Callithrix jacchus: one gene and its partner. The protein of the gene in region 2 purifies or fractionates together with the protein of the main gene of each other region. This does not show direct contact. Links are inferred from orthologs where the notes say so. Each region holds a gene or a part of one and is shown on either strand. Other genes may lie near its edges.

Region 1 (3,570 bases), on a different chromosome or scaffold from region 2:
CTTTGCAGGACAACTGATGACAGGAAAAGAACACATTTTAATAGTCACCTGCAAATAAGTGTCTCTTTAAAAACAAATAAATAAAGGTGACCTTATGTAGTCTTTCATTTTCATGTCATCGAGAACACCTTGTTACAGTGATGTTTTGATGGAGAGAACCATTTTGGGAGTATAGGGAAGTTTCCCAAGGAGGAAAAAATTTAACATGAAGAATGACGCAGGAAATATTAAGAGGTGAAAGAGTATGAGAACTGAACTAGCTATACACTGTGTGTATCATAACAGCCATTTTTTAATTTCCTGTGTAGCATTTTATATTGTGGAATGATATCAGGTAGGATGGGTTGTTGGTTTGTCTTTTGTTGTTGCTCCTCAGACTTTTTATTAATGACCTGTAGGATCTGTGGTTTTTTTTTTTTTTTTGTGTGTGTGTGTTTAACTGTATCCCCTCTGTTGGTGAATTCATTGTGGGTAATGGCCTGTATACCCTCAGAGGTTTGAGATGTCTGATGGGAAGCAGGAAGGAAGGGCAGGGCGATGAGCAAGAACTGGTACAAACTAATACCACCCTTGGGAGAACTAAACGACAGCTCATTAGCTCCTCTTGCAGGGAAATTCAACCAACCAAAGTAAACTCTTCTGGAATGTTGTTTTTCCTTCTTCCTCATGTTTTCAAATATTTCAACAAGTTACATAAATGTTACATCTCTTAGCATCCCTAGCACATTTTTTAGGTCTTTTTGTATCATTATGAGATAGGTAAATAATTTGCTTGGCCTTTTATTTTCCAGACAGCACCTGGGGTACATAAAAGATATTTCCGGAAAATAAAAAATCTCATTTCAGCATTTCAGAAGCCAGATCAAGGCATTGTAATACCTCTGCAGTATCCAGTTGAGAAGAAGTCATCAGCTAGAAGTACACAAGGTACTACAGGTATGATTTACTTGTAATTTTTGACAGGGTTTGGAAGCTCAGAGTTATGAGTCAACCTATTCATAACCATATAATCAATTAGAAGTTATGTAAGAAAAATGCAATGAAAAAGTAGATGTAGCCAGCAAGTCAAATGAGAAGTGATAACGTATATGCTATAATTTCAATCTATTATTCTTTAGACTTTTAATGAATCTCTGTAAAAACATCAAAAATTCTATAAGCCTGACTGCTCTTATCTGTCTCATCTTGTTCTTGTCCCTTTTATAGGTAGCTACATATCATCTCACTTCACTAATTCAGACAATAATAATGTGAAAGATAGTATAATGCAGAGAACACCTAGGGGTCCTTTCCTTTGCTTAGTAAACTATTTTTTCCTTCAGGGACATGAAAGCTAATGTTAGCCTGGAACACATGATTCTGATTCCTGAATTAGTGGTGCTTGAATTAATGACTTTTTTCTGGAAAAATTAAGGAAATTAAATAGTAGACTTTATTATTCCATTGGCACAAATTGTTAAATATCCGGAGAAAACCTGTTTTAGTGTATGTGTCGTGGTAAAGACTGAATACCAGCCAATGTCTGTAGCTATCTGATATGTGACTGTTTACTTCTCTATTGAATGGCGTTTATCATTGGTTTAGAGTAGGAGGATAGGCCTTGATTGAAACAACAAAAATGAGTCATTATGTCCCTTTTTGACAGGGACCTAGGCTCAGGCATAAACTGACAATTAGATTCAAGTGGTGAATTAAATTAATGAATAGTTAGCCTTTATAATACAAATGCAAATAGAGCTCTAATTTCCAAGTTGGCTAATGTTTTTTTTTTCTGCCCAGTATTCTATTCTTTATAACTCAGTTTTAAATAAGTTGCTTAAGGTATATTATTGTGTTGTGTCATTGTGAGTTTTATGCAGGTGGAAATATTATAAGTTTGAGTTAATCTGTAATTTTAATAGTTTGTAGATTTATCTTTTCTTGATTTTTGTTATTTTTCTTTAGGAATAAGAGAAGATCCTGATGTCTGCCTGAAAGCCCCATGAAGAAAAATAAAACACCTTGTACTTTATTTTCTGTAATTTAAATATATGCTAAGTCTTATATATTATAGATAATACAGTTCGGTGAGCTACAAATGCATTTCTAAAGCCATTGTAGTCCTGTAATGGAAGCATCTAGCATGCTGTCAAAGCTGAAATGGACTTCTGTACATAGTGAGGAGCTTTGAAATACAGATTGGGAAAAAGTAATTCCATAGGTTATTTTCAGTTATCATATTTACAAATGGGAAACAATTTAAAGTGTAATGAATATTTTATAAAGGATTAATGTCAATTCTTGCCAAATATAAATAAAAATAATCATTGGTTTTTGTGAAAAGCTCCATTTTCCGTGAAATATTATTTGATAGCTACTAATTTTAAAATGCCTTGCTTGATTGTATGGTGGGAAGTTGGCTGCCTTTGTCTTTGCCAATTTCTCCACTAGCTATGGTATCATAGGCTCTTTTGGGATTTTTGAAGCTGTTTACTGTATGCTAAAACAAGCACTAGACAGAGTGAAGAATTTATGTTTAATTCTGAAAGCAACCTTCTTGCCCAGTGTTTCGATGTTGGACAGTAAAATCCACAGGCCAATCTAGAGTTTAAAATCTTATAATTTAAAATATGCTCTAAAAATGTTTATCATATTTGATGCTACAGGATTTGAAATTGTGTTGCAAATCCAATGAAGTGAGTTTTTCTTTTCGTTTACCTCTGCCACAATTGCTTCTGCTACATGCAGAACCTCATTTTGAAGGGAAACTTCAGCAGCTGCAGCTCATGAATAACTGATTTGTAACCAGCCTCCTTTTAAAATAACCCTACAAGACCACTGGAAAGTTTATGGTTATATTAATTTTTTAACAATTCCAAATGATTGAAACCTACATGAGAGTCAGAATTTTATACAGTATTTTCTTCTTACATTTGTATTTTCGTGATTTTTGTGATTGATTATATGTCACTTTGCTACAGGGCTCACAGCATTCATTCACTCAACAAACATAATAGGGCACTGAGGGTATAGAAGTAAAAGCACCTGATCCCTGCTCACAGTTCCCTGTCTCATTGGACGAGAAAACAGTAACAATAAAAGACAGTGAAAGAAAATAACAATGAAAGACAAGGAAACAATAACAATGAAAGTTGACAAGTACATGATAAGTGAGGTTCCCCGTGTGTAGGTAGATCTGGTCTTTAGAGGCAGAATGAGCCAACACAAATACTCTGGTCCATGGTCCATATGAAAAGGACTTCACTATAGAACAGTAACTTGGAATTCTGGGTTGTGTATGAGTGTTGGTGAACTTGGTTTTTAAATAGTGAACTGCTGAGAGACAGAGCTACTCTCCATGTGCTGGCAAGACCTGATTTCTGAGTATTTAGTATGGATGCCATGGGAGTACAAAAGTGCAGTGTGGCCCCAGTAATGCATTATGGGTGGTTTACCATTTCTTGAGGTAAAAGCATCACTTTAACTTGTAGAGGAATTTTAAAATCCTACTTTCAAAATAAATTGTGTATGTTTAATAGTGTTGAATTATATGGCTTGAGTCTCCATTGTAATAGGTGTAACTAATTTTAA
Region 2 (4,220 bases):
ATTTGCAATCTATCCATCTGACAAAGGGCTAATATCCAGAATCTACAAGGAACTTAAACAAATTTACAAGAAAAAACCAACTCCACCAAAAGTGAGTGAAGGATATGAACAGACACTTCTCAAAAGAAGACATTTATGTACCCAACAAACATATGAAAAATAGCTCATCATCACTGGTCATTAGAGAAATGCAAATCAAAATCACAATGAGATACCATCTCATGCCAGTTAGAATGGTGATCATTAAAAAGTCAGGAAACAACAGATGCTGAAGAGGATATGGGGAAATAGGAAGGCTTTTATATTGCTGGTGCAAATGCAAATTAGTTCAACCATTGTGGAAGACAGTGTGGTGATTCCTCAAGGATCTACAACCAGAAATACCATTTGACTCAGCAATCCCATTATTGGGTTATACCCAAAGGATTATAAATCATTCTACTATGAAGAAACATCCATACATTTATTGCAGCACTGTTCACAATAGCAAAGACTTGGAACCAACCCAAATGCCCATCAATGATAGGCTGGATAAAGAAAACGTGGCACATATACACCATGGAATTCTATGCAGACATAAAAAAGAATGAGTTCATGTCCTTTTCAGGGACATGGATGAAGCTGGAAACCATCATTCTCAGCAAACTAACACAAGAACAGAAAACCAAACACCACACGTTCTCACTCATAAGTGGGAGTCGACCAATGAGAACACATGTACACAGGGAGGGGAACATCACACACTGGAGTATGTTGGCAGGTAGGGCAGTAGGGGAGGGATAGCATTAGGAGAAATACCTAATGTAGATGACGGGTTGATGGGTGCAGCAAATCATCATGGCACTTCTTACACCTATGTAACAAACCTGCATGTTCTGCACATGTATCTCAGAACTGAAAGTATAATCATAATAAATAAATAAATAAAAGCATCCCCAAACAGCAAAAAGAAAGAAAGAAGAAAATTAGTCTTTTAGAAATTAAGGGTTTTGTTTTGCTTTTTCTTAGCTTTATACTTAAAAATTTCTGATATAATTTGAGTGGAATTGTTTTTCTAATTTTATTTTCAGATTAATCATAGCTAGTATATACAATTGCAATTGAATTATATGTGTTGATTTTGTATCTTTTCACCTTGCTGAATTCATTTATTTGTTCTAGTAGATTTTAGGAAATTCCTTATGGACTTTTACATACAAGTTTATTAAAGATGCAATAAAGGACTTTATCTTTTTTTCCAAAAACAAACAGAAAAAAGATTTGCGTGTTTAGCTCAGAAAAAAGTAAATTGAAAAGTAAACAAAACAGTGGCAGAGGAAGAAGTTCTCACCACGCCTCTGAAGGAAGGGGAAGTCTCAGTACAAAGCATTTTCAGTTTACTGACAGAATGGCAACAGCATTGACTGCCTCAAGGTCTCAAGCACCAGTCTTCACCGCGGAAAGCATGTTGTGGCTGTTCCTGTTGCTCCTGCTTGTCTTCTGCATTGGCCCAGGTAAATGTCAATGCAGAGCCATGTAGTCACTAGTGACTCCCTGGTTTTATGTCACTAGCGACTACACAGGTCTGCATTGCTCAATCGAAATCGTCTGTATACAGTTGTCTGTCTGGGTCCCTGTCAAGGGATTGGGATGGGGAAGGGCATGCTCATAGTGGTACTTGATATAAGTACCACTCATATACCTCCTCTCAACTTTGAATGCTATAAGCTTGAGATGGTTGTCAGTGAACAATTTCAACTGTGTCTATATGTAAGAAAGTTATTTGTTGGGGCAGAGGAAATAAGCTTTTGCAAGACGAGACTGGTTTATGGCCAGCATACTGTAAAGAGTACCAAGATCAAGAAAATGAGCCCTCATACCAATTTAGCCACTACCTTACTGTGAACCTCCAGAAGGTTACTTATCATCTCTGAACCTCACTATCCTCATCTACACTATTAAAAACCTATTATTCAGTTGAGCCAAAATTTCTGGGCCCAACCAAACACACTGAAATTAATCCTCTCTAGCCCGCCCCCTCAAAAAAAAGGTTTCCATCTCTCCCCTCCTATAGTGCAAATTAGGACTGAGTGCTTATTATATTTCAAGTACTGTTTCAGGTGCTGTACACACATTATGAGTCTCATGAGAATTCTATGAATTTGTACTATTATTATCTCCATTTTAAAAGAAAGAACTCAAGTGAAGTTAATTTAAATAACTTGCCCAAATTTCATTAACCAGCATGCGGCAAGCTCTTGTAATAGTTCTGAAAAACAATGACAATTGAACGAGTGTGGCAGCAGCATAAGAGAAAGACAGGATGGAAGCAAGAGATCCCTTCGATATGGAGTTAAGTAGATTAATTGGCAATTGGAATGAGGGGAAAGGAGGATTCGGTAAGTCATTTGATAAATATTCATGGGGCGCCTATTGAATGTCTGGCACTGTTTCAGTCTGCATGAATACATCACGAACAAAGCAAGCAAAAAATTCCGGCTCTCATGGAGTTAACATTTTAGCAGAAGACAAACCATAAAAACGAACAAACAAAAAAGCAAGTAAAATAGTGTATTGAATAGTGATAAGGAAGAAATAAAAGTAGAAAAAAGAAATTCAAGTAGAAAAGGGAGAGATGAAATACGGTAAAGAGGGCAGTGAAATTTCTGACAGGATAGCCAGAGAAAGTGACAAAATTGGAAGGTGGAGAGCAGCCACAGGAGGAAGGTGAGTTCAGTTTTGGACCTGCCGATTTTAGGATGTTGGCATACCATCCATGAGGAAGTTACATGAAAGTTCCTGGGAATTTAGGACTAGGAGGAGGGCTGAGTCTGGAAGCTTAAAAATCAACAGCATAGAGGTAAGTTAAGCTACGGAGAAAACTGGAATGAGAACAGAACTTTGGGAAATATATATACAATGTAGAAAGAGAGAGAATTCTTGCTTTCATTCAAGAGCCACTTCCTGACCTGGGAGCAGAATCTTGAGTTTTTGTTTCATTTTTACCTCCCTGCAAAATTAAATCCACCTCTAGAATAAAAATATTCTGAATGTCCTCATGTTAAAACTCCTCTTCTTCTCCCTATGTCCATGAATACTTCTTATAATGACTCCCTGAAAGATACAGTGCTCCCATCTCCATTTCACAGATGGGGAAAGAAGGCACAGAGCACTTAAGTAACTTGCTTACTGTCCCACAGTTATGGGGGAAATGGGTATAGAAAGAGAAACACATTTGAATGTGTTTGCAGGAGGCAGATGCAGGTGTTCGGAAGCCCAGGAGGGGAGAAGTGGCTGCTACAACTGGAAATCAGGAAGTCCTGCTCTGGAGTGTGTGCTCATGACTGCTTCATCATACTACTTAACTTACACGCAGTCACATATTCACACAAATGCATATATAATTAGAAAGTGTGAGGCTAGCAAGAAAATAAGCAGGGCACGTTGATAGAGAAAAACACAGGGACCTGCTTTAAACCGAGTGATGAAGAAAGGACTTTCTGGAAAAATAACATTTCATCTCATATTTAAAGGGTATGAAAAGTTAAGCAGGAAACATCAAATGAAGAAGCTTTTAAGGCAGGAGGGATCATATGAGGAAAGATCCTGATGCAGGGAAGAGCGTGGAGCGATTTAGGAAGGGAAAGAGACCCCTGTTGCAAAAGTGCAGGGCAAACGAAATCAATCATGGAAACAACCATGAAAAACAATGACTCATGCCAGCCTACATTATTTCCAATGAATGGGAAAGAATCTTCCATTCTTTCCAAAGAATGGGCACTAGCCAACCCACCTCCTTTTAGAAAATTTAGTTGAAAAGACAAACCTTGTTGAAAAATAATCCTATTTCCTTTAACTGAAGCCCTGGGTGGCAAAACTAACAGAACAAAACAATAATTATAACTAAAATCAAGCATCATGACATCCTAGAGAAAGTGAATCTTGTTTCTTTATTTTAATTTCTATAGATAGAAACCTGTCGAACTTAAATGGTCATATAAGTTACTTGGGGGAATCTTATTAAAATGCTGATTCTGGAATAGGGACTGAGGTTCTGCATTTCTAACAGGCTCCCAGGTGACACCAATGCTCCCTGTCCATGGACCACACTGAACAGCAAGGTCCTAAATTCCACTGGACTTCAGTCACCCTGAGATTTTAGGGAGGGAGAAATAGGAACTAATTTTTGAGTGTGCTTGCAGGAAGCAGATACAGGTATTCTGAGGTCCAGGAGAGAACAG

Evidence for each region. The genes of interacting proteins can lie anywhere in the genome.
Region 1: the proteins of SLAMF6 (region 2) and SH2D1A purify together in Homo sapiens (co-immunoprecipitation; 5 studies listed by BioGRID and IntAct, with this or other methods). This does not show direct contact. The link is inferred for Callithrix jacchus from reciprocal best matches to the Homo sapiens genes SLAMF6 and SH2D1A.

The regions. Positions count from the first base shown.
Region 1 is NC_133524.1:120,122,087-120,125,656, forward strand, and holds part of SH2D1A (SH2 domain-containing protein 1A), read left to right. Parts: intron 1-791; coding exon 792-936; intron 937-1,944; coding exon 1,945-1,985; 3' UTR 1,986-3,570.
Region 2 is NC_133519.1:20,450,882-20,455,101, reverse strand, and holds the start of SLAMF6 (SLAM family member 6), read left to right. Parts: upstream 1-1,378; 5' UTR 1,379-1,387; coding exon 1,388-1,493; intron 1,494-4,220. UniProt on the Homo sapiens protein: Self-ligand receptor of the signaling lymphocytic activation molecule (SLAM) family.